Linked DNA regions of Arabidopsis thaliana. The protein of the gene in region 2 purifies or fractionates together with the protein of the main gene of each other region. This does not show direct contact. Each region holds a gene or a part of one and is shown on either strand. Other genes may lie near its edges. The genes, in order: AT4G32580 and UBP14.

Region 1 (4,133 bases), on a different chromosome or scaffold from region 2:
ATATATTCACATTTAACCAGAAACAATGCTCAACATTTCATTCATCTTGTTAGTGCACATACCCATTCCAAACACTAGCAATGAGAAACTTGTGAATCTAACAATAATATAGAGAGGAGTGATCAAATAACTAGCCTTTTTCAGGTACCGGTTTTCTGTATCTGTTCTCTCATTCAGAAGATCTCTGCCATCGAGTATCTGCACACAAGAAGACCAAATGTGTATTTTTTTGCTTTGAGTTACTGGTCATCATAAGAAGACCAAACACAAATCTATTTTCCTCCATTGATATCCATGAATGCTAGAACAATCATAGCTCATAAATTCATAATCAGAATCTAATTAACATTGTATGAAGTCACTTGCCTCCACAATGCAAGTTCCACAGCTTCCTCCACCACCACAGTTCATCACTTTCCCCTAATCATCACAAATTGACCAAAATCCAAAGTTTACATAAGCCTTCAACAAACCATCTCCTCACATCAAAATCTAGAACTAAATATTTTCATTGTCTACTAAATTATTCCAGAAACTAGTTCAAACATCAAATCAATCAATGTATTAAGATTGAGAAAATCTGAAGTTAAATTTCGTAATTAAAGAGAGAGAAATCAACATAACTCACGTAAGCAGCGTAGAGTTCAATTTTGTTATCCTGCATAATGCTTCTGAGAAGCTTATCTCCACTCACAGCCTTTGCTTTATCTACCGGATATGACCCGTCGCTACCCGGCTTCGGCTGCAAAGAAAAAAACGAAAAGTCTCTTCTGAGTTTTGAAACGAATTGTATCAATAATCGACGAGAAAATCGCGCCGAGAGTTACACCGAAGAACTCGAGCTCTATCTCAAGAGGCGTCACTGCAGAAATCCCCTGAGGAGATGATGCTTGAGAAGAAGAAGAAGAAGAGCTGTTACAGGAGATTACGCGAGCTCTTCCACCTCCGGAAACTTTTCGATGCTGCTGAATTTGTGCATTGGAGAAGGTGAAGCCGAGGTTGAAACCTAACGAAGCCATTTCTTCCGGCTAAATCTTCCCGTGTTAGCTTCCGATCTCCGGCGACTTTGGTACGAAGATTCCAGAAACTAAAGCTAAACCACGAATTTAATTATGTGGACTTCATCTTCTACATGTTATAAGGCTTTTTGTCTCTGTTGTTAACCCATTAACAAGCCCATTTAACTTATTTTCAATTTATATCTTCGACTTATCTTTAAATTATAAATTGAAAAGACGTTAAGTGGGCCTTTTAGTGCTAATTTTTTCAAGCCCATTTAACTTATTTGAGTCTTGGAATATTTCACTTGGAAAACAATGCGCTAATTCCATCTCCTATAATTTCCCTGTATATATTTTGAGAAGATGGATGGATTGAGCAATTTTAAAGACAAATATTTATGTAACTAAAAAATTATTCTTAACTTTCTGATGATTTATGTCTGAGGGAAGCATCTAGTATGCATTGTTTCTGTTTCATGTGAGATAAGCAAGAAAAGTAAGTGGGAAACAAGAAAGCAGAACAGTGAGATTACCAATTGTGCAAACAATCATATCATATAGTATACTTTGTTCGCCATCTTACTGTCACTTAAACAACAAAATTCACTATCATCGTTTAGCGGATTATTTTCAACTATATAACCCAGTAAAAGATAGTTTACTTGTCATGTGGTATATTTGACAGTTATCAAACTTTTGAGAGTTTGTGACACGTACGATACAGACACAAAATCAAATCTCCCTCTCCGACCATTTTTTTTTCTTAGTTACATAAATCTCTTTTCCTTCTCCAGCAACAGAAGAATTCTGCTCGATAATAGATTGGTAATCACAAAAAGAAAAGAAAAAGTGTTGGAGATCCTTCCGAGAGAGACGCGACATCTCCTTCCTCTTCGAAGATGAGTGGTACTGTGAAGGATATCGTTTCAAAGGAGGAGCTTGATAACTTGCGCCACAGCGGAGCACCACTCGTGCTTCACTTCTGGGCTTCTTGGTGTGACGCTTCGAAGCAGATGGATCAAGTTTTCTCTCATCTCGCTACTGATTTCCCTCGTGCTCACTTCTTTAGGGTTCGTCGTCTCTGTTCGAATTTTATCTCTTTCAATTGGTTTTTGACTTTGATTGGTTTTATTTATCTTCTTAGGTAGAAGCTGAGGAACATCCTGAGATATCTGAGGCTTATTCTGTTGCTCTTGTGCCGTATTTCGTCTTCTTCAAGGTAAACTTTAGGCATATTGATTCTTTGTTTGGTTGCAATTTTTTGGCTTATTGACAAAGCTTGAATCTTTGTCACTGCACTGAATCCTTTTCTTATTGAAGGATGGCAAAACTGTGGATACACTTGAAGGGGCAGATCCATCAAGTTTAGCTAATAAAGTTGGCAAAGTTGCTGGTTCTATTACTCCTGCAAGCTTAGGGTTGGCTGCAGGGCCAACGATTCTTGAAACTGTTAAGAAGAATGCGAAAGCTTCTGGACAAGACCGAGCTCAGCCTGTATCTACCGCTGATGCTCTCAAGAATCGTTTGGAAAAACTCACCCTGTTATGTTATTCATGAATGGTACTCCTGAAGAGCCTCGATTTTTAATATCTATTGAGTACTTTCTTTATAGTTGGAATTCTTGTGGATATATATCAGGTAGCTACTTGGAGCAAACATGTTGCTAAAGTTGACCTGCTACTGTTGTTTGAAGAACACGTGCTATGTCTTGTCGTTGAAGGAATTATGTTCATATGGGAAGAACATAAGCCTACTGGAAAGTTTACCCCTAGCTCTATTGTTAACCCAGATACTTGAGCCTCCATATCACAAACATCTAGTTAAGGTTTGTGTAGTAAGAACAAGAAAAACAACACGTGTTCCCAATTCCCATATAAATGACCATTATACTTCTATCAACCCAATTAATCACAGTCCGGAGACTAGTTGATTAAAAAATCAGCTAATACTAATTTGGTGGTTTCAATAAACATCTTAAATACTCCATAATTAAACTAGATTAAAGTGGGAAAAATCGTCATGAGTAGTTGTAAAATCGATTTCATTTAAGAGTATAGAAATTCGTCATGAGTGGTTGGTTCATGAGTTCTCTCTCTTACTCATATTAGAGTAAGAAATCAAACACTTATAATCATTCAAAATTCAACAACTCTCATCTCAAAACCATATATTTAGGTAAAGTTATATGCATACATTTTGCATTTTAATTTTAAAACAGATTATTTGGCGCGTAATGATAAAATTATGTGTATAAAAATTATTTAACTAATCGATCTAACAACCACATATGAGTAAAGTAGTTAACATTGTACTACTACACCAAATTATAGTGTGTTGGTTAGATTAGATACACAAACTCACTTTCTCAAATCAATAACATTATGAATCTATGATAACCTTAATTTAAAAAGAGTCTATAATGCCATGATTTTACAATCGTACTTTTTTCTTTTGGGCTGAACTTTTAATCATATATTATTTGAAAGATGTGATTATTATAATATTAAAGGGAATTAAAATCATGTAAGAGAAACCCAATAAAGTAGCTTGAAGAAGAAAAAGACAAGCTTTATTATACACTTACCCAGAAAAACAAAAAACAAAAAACTGATAATATCTCTCTCTCTCTCTCTCGTTGAGTGTGTCCATGAAATAATACTCTGCCAGAGACAGAGAGAAAGACTGTAACGGAGGATGTGGTGGCGAAGTGGCCACACTGACACACTGGTTTCATGATGGTGAACCACAACAATGGCCAGCGACCCACTGATATTGATTCTCGTCTCCGACAGACAGAACAAGATAAGCTCTTGTTCCATGACTTTTTAGGCTCCAAGAATCCTACTTTAGCATCCACTTCCATGGCTGACCATAGGCTACCACCGGATAATAAGGCGGCTAAAGCGGCGATGACTCCTTCCACGGCTTCTGCTTCCTCCGCCGGTGGACTCGGCGGTCTCTCCTCAACCTCCGATCTCGGTTCTGCTCTGTCTCTCTATCTCTCTCTCCTGATGTTTTTGTTGTTGTTGACGTAGTGTGCTTACGCTGATGAGGTTTTGAGCTGATTCCTCTGTACATTTAGGGTTTCTATCTATAGAAAGTTCAACTTTTGTTACATAGATTCGATTTAAA
Region 2 (8,670 bases):
CAGTGAGAAATACCAAATGCAAACAGAGAAAGAGGCTGAAACCAACCTGTAACAGAAGCTTGCTGATTCACCAACTCTCAAAACTTCAATCACAATGATCCATGAAATCAGTAGTGCCTCTTTGATTACCCTTTGAAAGGAAAATTCATAAAAATGAGTCTTCAATTTTTATAATAAAAGCAACAAATCCAACAAAACCTAAACCAAAATTTCACATAAAATTCAATTCTATATGGTCTCAGTATTTCACCATAAATCCCTAAAACATCGTATAACGCTTTGAAAATGGATTCCCAAATCAATAAAAGAGTAAAGAACAGCATCTGTTTTTCGTTACCTGATAAGCAGACGATAACGGCAAGAGATTCCGATTAGACGCAATTAAAACACCCATAAACGGAAACAATTTCATGATTCTATTATCGGGATTTTATAATTTTTAGTATCTTCTTTTTCTGTTTGTGGGAATCGAGAATAATATGAGCGAATTTGAAGAACACGTGTTTGGAGAAGAAGAAACAATTCGTGTTATTTCTCTTCGAGATTATAATGATGGCCAGTGTTAACTATATAACAAATTAGCCCACTTTTTGATCTTAAAAACTAATTAAAAGATCTCCAATTTCAGTGTATCCCGAGATTAAATATTTTAATCAACAGTTTTTCTGCTAATGTAAAAAAAAACACTTATGATTCCCCTTTTATATCTTCATTTTTCATAAATCTAAGCACCAATGATGCCAAAACTGAAGGAAAAGCTCAAAACTTTTATCCAAAAGAAAAAAAAAAAAAACTGAAAGTAGTTGAGAACTGAGGAGGCAAATTAAAAAGACAGCGAATGATGTTTAGCTTCTAAACGGGTCTTAAAATTTGTGACGAAGTTCCACAGATAAAATCATCAAGTGAACCAAATTTACTAATCCACATGTAAGATTTTGGAACCGAAACTAGTCACATGGGTCACCTCAATCCAAATGTTAAAAACCCTATCGACCTTAAAAGTTTCTATTTAAAAAAAAAAGGATTAGTTTTTGTCTCTGTAACTGGCTCCATCGAATCAATCAAGCCGCTGAAAGAAGTAGACATAACCCATGTCTTTAGGAGGATCAGTCGAGATACCAACTTTGTCGTCATTGAAAATTACCCAGCGGCCTTCTTTCAATATGTGAGCCACGTAATGACCACAGTGCACTGATGTTCCCATGTGACTTACTATTCCAAACAGCTTGTATTCTGCATTTAAGATCAATCTTGAGTTAGAGTTTTATTCATACTGCTTTGTGGAAAAAACGAAACACTAACATTTGTTTTGCAAAATGAGATAGAAAGACTCAAAAGAGGGTTTAAGAAACTAACTCCCTCCTCCATCTGGTAATCCACTTTGAGCCGGAGTCTGCGCTGAATTGCTAGAGGATACATCCATGTCTGAAACAGATGCATTAGGGTTGTTGAATACCCAGTCTGTTGCTTTCTCAATGTCTCCTCCCTGATTAAAGACAAAAAAAACAAAACCGATTTCAGTAATGAGTAAAGAAAAAACAGCCTCGCAGAAATGTAACTAATTTGCTCAAAAGTGTTATACCGAGGCTTTTAGTGCCTTCCGAGCAACATCTTCAGCAAAACCAAAGGAGAGTAAGGTATCAACGCTTGATTGATCAATGTCAGATGTCTGGTGGGAGATTGGTGCATCGATGTCTATGAAACATAATGCCTCATCATATTAGAAATCGGTCTCGAGTCGTAATTTAGTTGAGCCTCAACTAAAGACTTGTGGAACTATTTTCAATTACCTGGATCATCCATGTGAGAAAGTAACCAGTTCATTGCCTCTTCAACCCCAGCATTGGAAGTATTTATGGCAGCTTTCTGGCAGTGAAGCTGGCTAAATCCCATTGAGACTAGCTGTGCAACTATCTCCTCATTTGCCACGGGCTGCGCTGATTCCATCACTTCTTCTGGAACTGTATACAGAAAAATCCAATAGCCAACAGAATTATAAGGAGACTGAGTGCCATAAAGAAACCGTTTAAGGGATGCTGATACTTTTTAATGATTAGGAAACTGAGTGCTAATTCCAAAGGCTAGTAGTCATGACACCAGAAAAGATACCACGAGTTTGAAACAATCAATAAATGGAGTCAATCAATCATTATTTATGTGAATTATGAACACACCACTCCTGTGATAAATATAACAACATACCGCCATCTGGCAACAGTTCTTCCCCAGGTTGGAGTCCTTTGCTACGCATGTGGCTGATATCAATAACATCCGGAACATCAATGTATACATCTGCCACAGTAAATCAAGAAAGGATAATAAGTATTTATATACAGGGACAATAGGGGAACATTATAAGGATCATTGTTTCAGAAAGAAAGAGACCAAGTTTCTTTGGCACCCAGCCTTCCTCCATAACAAATTTCCGCATGTGCAAGACCAAATAATCTGGGAAAGATGTCAAACCAGTTGTCCTGCATAAAATGGGAACCAAAAGTCAAGCCTTGCTTTCATTCTAATCTTGGTTGCAAAAGAATTCACTCGGTAAAAAACAATATCTTACTTGATAGCTGTTGTCATTCCCTTCAAAGCAGAGCTATAGTAGTCTTCAATCGGCTCTGATGATGCAAAATTTGCTAGACAGGCTTCTAAAGGAACTCGTGGGCGTACTATTTCATCACTTGACCTCCTGAAAATAAACAAAAAAATCTTAGATAAGCAGTGAAACTATGAAACAGATTTAAACTTAAGTCCATTGACTCACATATCATTCTCTTCCAATCCTTTTCCTGCTTTTTGCTTGTGAAAGGCTTCTAATTCATCTTGATCACCAAACATTAAGCAAAATTAAGAAACACGCCAAACGATAAAGGAAGAGGAACATAGACAGACGAACAGGATATACCTTTATTAGTTGCCTCATGTAGCGGAATGTTCAAAGAAAGAATACAGTCTTCCCTCTTATTATATCCAACCTTTCCAGACGGACAAAGGATCTTCTCTTCTATTCCAAACTTGAAGCTCCTCGAGGGGTCTAAATCTGGTGTCGTGTTGCTAGCACGCTCAACCTTGCCTACCAGATGGAGGAAAAAGTCGAGAGCATCCTACAAGACAGATTGGTGCTAGTTAGTATGAAAACATAAAATAATTTCGTTAACTGATGCCGAAAAGGAGTATCGTTCCAATACAAGTTAAAAAATAAACAAAACTCCGAACATTAAAAAAGACATGGTTTTCACCTGCTGTCTCATAGAAGAGAATTCTGCGTGGCTCGCGGCAATTACGTTTTTGAACATGCGAGGAGGTATTCCTTCTTGTCTCTATTATCGATTAAAAAACGAAACAAGATGTAAAGTCATCAGAAATCAACACAAGTGGGGTATGCAAAAAAAAAAGTGTGGCCATCCGCATACATATATTTATTCAAAAGTTAAACACAGGACTTCAAATAAAAATCTTACAGGATCTCCAGTTGTAGCATCCTTCTGCAATCAGAAGAAAGGCGAAATCAATGTACTGAGGCTCTAAAAGGTGGTTTAGATCATATACATATATATATGCATACAAGCAAAAATATTTCCTACTATAGTTATACCTGAGTTGCAGGCATTGAGTACTTCCCAGATAGTAAGCCGTGTCCAAGCTTTGTTCTACAACCAACAGTGCAAGGAGTATGAAATAAATATGCAAATTACCATGCAATTATTCCTCATGGAAATCAGATTAGTTAGAAAAAGTGCACAGCATATCAAACCAAACGGAGAGAAAAACAGAAACTAAAGCACGTGCATGCAGATACAGAGTATGCACAAATATAATCTTAAAACCCTTTCATCATAACGATGCCAAGATTTCAATCACATGATTTCAGAAAGTCCAGAGCATAAACTTAGTAACATTTTTTCTAACAATAACTCACAATTGCATATTGAGGTCCAAAGTTGGATCAGCAGGAGCCATCTCAAAAGCCATCTTTAAGCTCTGATGTGAAAAGTATCTGCAACAATCTCAGAACCAAAAGTTACTACAGTTGAATCAAAGAGCAAAAGCTTTGTTTTGATTTAAGTTATATAAGTGAAAAAGAAATATGGGCAATGGCATCTACCTTGAAATAAATGAATGGGTAGAGAAAACAATCTGCATCGTAGCTGCCAAGTAGCAACTGGCAAAAGAAAAGAAATGGGCATAAGACATCAACAAGGAAACGAAATCCCTGACAATTTTTCCATTAGAGTACCTGTTCCCAAGATTGACAAGTCCGGTATATCCAGGTCCAAAAACTGGCACCAATTCTTTTCCACTCTCTTGTATACGGTTCCAATCAAAATTTGTATTTTGATCAAGTTCTCTTTCAGCAGTTGTCATTTCAGTCTGTGAAAATTGTAGCAAACATTTCAAGAAAGTTAACATTATTCAGATTAAAACCAGCATGGGATATCTTTAGCAAAGATGATGATCAAGGCAGTACAAACAAGAAAACAAATACAGGTGACTATAAAACCTATGCTTTGGGAAATGAAGCCTCTTAACTTAAGCAGTACATGGAGCAAGGAAAAATGAGGAAAAAAGACACAATACAGTTTACTATTGTAAATGTTTACATGTGACGCAACAATTACAAGTAAACAGACTGAACGCGTGAATGGGAATTATTGTCTCAAAACGACCTGAAATTACATTCTCCAAGTGCACTGCGTCTTTTTAATCGCAATTATAAAAAAGTACGCAATAACACTGATGTGAGTCTACTTGCTCTTGGTAAAGAAACATTTAGTCTCAGACATATTCCATGTTTCTACAGTTGTTTTGTGGCAATTGATACTGAAGAAAGAAATGAACACAAGACATAAGCTTTCTAGTACAACCAGCACTTGCCAATGCAACCCAGGATGGGTATCTTAACAAACCATATCATTATGGGAATACCTAAGCTTGAGTATCTAATAAAAATGCAGTACACGAAATTCATTACCACAGACAAACAACAATATAAAGTGTCAGACAAGATCCACTCTTCACTTTTATACTTTAACAGAACCATGAACCATCATTACTAACCTTCTGCATCGACGAGAAGTCAATTCCAAAATGGGCCAGATGCTCAGCCAGGAGCGGGTCCAAAACACTGTCATCTTCCGGATAGGAATAAACATCTGAGCTGCCAAAAAATTTGCAATGATTAAGTGCTGAAGAAATCAAAACCCATCCAAAGAACAAGATAATCCACATGCATCAACATTAAAAAAAAAAAACAAAGTGATGCAGGAAGTCCCCCTTATCCACCCCAAAGAGACAACTATCAACTGATATTAGCCATACACAAAAGTGAAGTTTAATGACTAATCTCTGGTTCTACGAATAAGGAAACAAGACAACTTTACCTGCTGCTTCTAAGTCAGCAGTGATAGTTCCAAGCTTTACAGCAAGAGGGTAGGCTGTCTCTTTGTAGTGCTCAACAGCATGGTTGTTTCCACCAGTTCCATCCCAGTTTTTTCTTCCACAGAGAATCATTCCATCGGTAAGATTAAGCCAGAGATTCTCCGTCTTATCACACTTAGAACATTTCCAACCAGAGGGAGGAATGACAATGCCACTCTTGATTTGCTGCAGTGTCAATGCATGTTCACTAATTAACTTTTTCTCAGCTGTCCAAGCTGCAACTTGCTCTTTCCGCTCAGCACCAACGGCATTCACTACAGTATCGACAGCAATCCTCACCTGCAATAACAAATCACAAAAAGCTAAATACATGCAATGTGTTTTCCATAAACCACTCTCTGATAACACACCTAAAATCAACAACATAGTGCTAACAAACACCTTCTCTGGTAGCTCAACAGAAGGAAACGGGAGTGAAACAAAATCCGGAAGTATGACTATGCTATAAGACTCCTCGTACTCTGGCTCATTGTTATCAAAGCCTCCATCAACACCTGCAAATTGATTAACAGTTCAAAACCAATCTCTCGACTCTATGTTCAAAAATCAGTATAGATACGGCATTGTAATCATCATTGTATATATACCTATAGCGAGCAGAGTCGGTTTCTTGAGAGGCCGATCCTCGGGAATAGACTTCCTAGTCTGCTTAATATGAAGATAAACAGGGTTTCCAGTCTTCTCATAGTTCCAAGAAACATAATCCTTCCCGAAAGCAAGAAAACTATTCATATCAACGAACAATCCTCCTTCGGATCTCTGAAAATCATCATTGCGAATTCATCAAAACCGAAGAAAACGAGAGAAGAGTCGAGAGTAGTCGGAATTTGAAGAAGAAAACGAAGTGAGAGAGAGGCTTTACCGGAGTATCGAAGGAGATGCAACACTCATGCTTGTAGATGCGATGAGTAGGTTCAGGGATCTGAACCCTAGACAAGTTGGATCGGAGGAGCTCCATAGGGTTTTTGCGAAATCGGCGAAAGAAACTCTCTGACGACGGAGAGACAGATATGTGTTGTTGAGTGATATCACACGTCTCCGTTACAACTTAACAAGGAAGGTACGGATGATGAGAAACGTCGTCGTCCTTCTAAATTCCTTTCTTATTGCCTGAGGTTTTGGGGAGAATTGCAATAAAGCAAAAGTTGTTGTCAATTTGGGGAAATTTCGTTAACCGACTTTTTGTTGGGTTAATTTTGAAAATATTCTAAATTAAGGATAGAGTTTGGATACACAAAAAGAATATTGTACAGCCCATTAGAGTTTGTATTTACCCAATAGACCCAAGACTATTTGATTGACCCATATGCATGGATGTAGAATGAATCAAAAGAAGAAACCATAAATCACAATGTGGCCAATGTGGGTTTTACATGTTCTTGTTCAACACGAAAATTACTAAGTGTGAGGATATCGTTTGATGATTTTTGAAATGAAAAAAAAAAGGTGGATGTCTACTCTTGGGAAAAAGAGGTATTCAAAGTTCATGTAATATATGAATGCTTATGATTTATGAAGAATGAACAATGGTGATGAATCAGATCCAACTCCACAAAGATTCCTTGGTTCTTCTAGCATGCTAAAATGTTTTGGTTCAACTCGATTGTTTAATTAATGTGTTTTTGGGCTACTTAGCTAATTAAAGTTGTCTTGTTTTCATAAGGCCAATTCCAATCACGGAATATCACAAGTCTGTACATTTCTCAGAATTTAAAATCAAATACATCCACAACAGTGTCGACGAAAACTATATTTACGAAACAAGACAACTTTACATGTGGTGCTGAAAACTATAATACTAATAATAGTCCGAGTATATATCGTTTATCAATGACTCAATGTATAACTTATGCATGAACTAGTGGTAATTTGATGAATAGTATAAATGAGAATCGCGGGATAACAATACTCTAAAGAGAACAGAAGTCACCTTTTTCAGTTACCTCAATTTTAGAAATTTTTCATATTTTTTTTACGGACAATGATATATCAAAATCAAACTGGAATTGATAGGTCAGTGATCTAACTTCATGTCCTTAGATCTCACTGTGTTGGTTCAAATTTCTATATAAGAAGTTAAAAAGGCCTAAATCCACTAGAGTTGTTGACAACAAAATAGCAGAGCCGATTTTTTTCCATACAAGTTTCTCCATATAGAAAACTATTTCTCTTTTGAAAATACTCGTATCCCTTTAAACAATAATTCAGTTTAATGAAAATGTAAGGAGGCGGATTTTTGGGAAGCATGAAATGCTTTTTTTTTCTTTAACAAGTGTTCAATAAAGAACCTTTCTGATATAAAAGTAAAAACCATTGTGGGCCATATCTTACTTCCACTAACATTATTCCAAAGTTATAAAAATATATCTGTCCCAAGATTTTTTTCCTCTTGTCCAATCAAAATATGCATATTAACACATTACTCTCTCTTATTCGTGGAATCTAATTATTCCCTTTCAAAAATTAGAATAGCTAAAAAAAGGAAGAAACAAAAGCTCCTTTTCTCCATAATTAAATCACCTTTCTCCTTCTCTGAATCAATGAAGACAATACTTACATTATAGATCCCTACATTCTTCTCTAACGAATAACTTAACATCTATCTTTCATACATAACATCTATTCTTCTCTGAATCAATGTTTATACTCTTTGGAGGGAACGGAACACTCGTCTGCACACTTCTTCTTCGAGACCTGCTGCTGGACTGATTATGGAGATAAAGAATCTTATTCGCACTCATCTTGATCCTCTCTCACGAGCTCAACGTATTGGCCCCAATGGTTTATCGTACCTCGCCACTTGGTTCGGTCTCTTTATTTGATCATATGCTTTGTTTTACTTTTCTTTGTTGTTTTGTAGGTGTTACTCGTTTTGGAGGCGGTGTGTATTCGATTTCGTTTTATAAATGAAGGTAATGTTAAAAAAAAAAAAAAAAAAAAAAAAAAAAAACATCTATCTTTCATACATAACTATTATAACCCCCCAAAAAAACCTATAGATATATGTTTGGAATTAATTTGGTCGTGTGAAAAAATACATGTCAAATCTCAATAGCTCTTATATATCTATGCATGGTTCTTCAATTACACATTATTTTTTAGTTCTATGAATAAGAAGTATAAATGGACAACACGTTTCACTTGTCCATTAACTTATCTCCTCTTCGTTTAAAAATGCGGTGATTCTTATCAGCAATCAACGTATATATTATAAGTTAAAAAAGATACGTA

The links.
Region 1: the proteins of UBP14 (region 2) and AT4G32580 fractionate together in Arabidopsis thaliana (co-fractionation; one large-scale study listed by BioGRID). This does not show direct contact.

The regions. Positions count from the first base shown.
Region 1 is NC_003075.7:15,718,303-15,722,435, reverse strand, and holds AT4G32580 (Thioredoxin superfamily protein), read left to right. Parts: upstream 1-1,900; coding exon 1,901-2,071; intron 2,072-2,145; coding exon 2,146-2,220; intron 2,221-2,321; coding exon 2,322-2,558; 3' UTR 2,559-2,799; downstream 2,800-4,133. Other genes in the region: AT4G32590 (2Fe-2S ferredoxin-like superfamily protein), read right to left, coding at 136-198, 367-420, 629-742, 828-1,019; TIFY8 (TIFY domain protein 8), read left to right, coding at 3,734-3,980.
Region 2 is NC_003074.8:7,201,944-7,210,613, forward strand, and holds UBP14 (ubiquitin-specific protease 14), read right to left. Parts: upstream 6,605-8,670; 5' UTR 6,398-6,604; coding exon 6,302-6,397; intron 6,199-6,301; coding exon 6,027-6,198; intron 5,934-6,026; coding exon 5,821-5,933; intron 5,719-5,820; coding exon 5,382-5,718; intron 5,154-5,381; coding exon 5,059-5,153; intron 4,372-5,058; coding exon 4,238-4,371; intron 4,163-4,237; coding exon 4,106-4,162; intron 3,998-4,105; coding exon 3,920-3,997; intron 3,651-3,919; coding exon 3,596-3,650; intron 3,486-3,595; coding exon 3,462-3,485; intron 3,321-3,461; coding exon 3,240-3,320; intron 3,105-3,239; coding exon 2,906-3,104; intron 2,823-2,905; coding exon 2,765-2,822; intron 2,690-2,764; coding exon 2,564-2,689; intron 2,475-2,563; coding exon 2,386-2,474; intron 2,293-2,385; coding exon 2,203-2,292; intron 1,962-2,202; coding exon 1,791-1,961; intron 1,696-1,790; coding exon 1,583-1,695; intron 1,487-1,582; coding exon 1,357-1,486; intron 1,234-1,356; and 3 more. UniProt on the Arabidopsis thaliana protein: Recognizes and hydrolyzes the peptide bond at the C-terminal Gly of ubiquitin. Involved in the processing of poly-ubiquitin precursors as well as that of ubiquitinated proteins. Involved in seed and embryo development.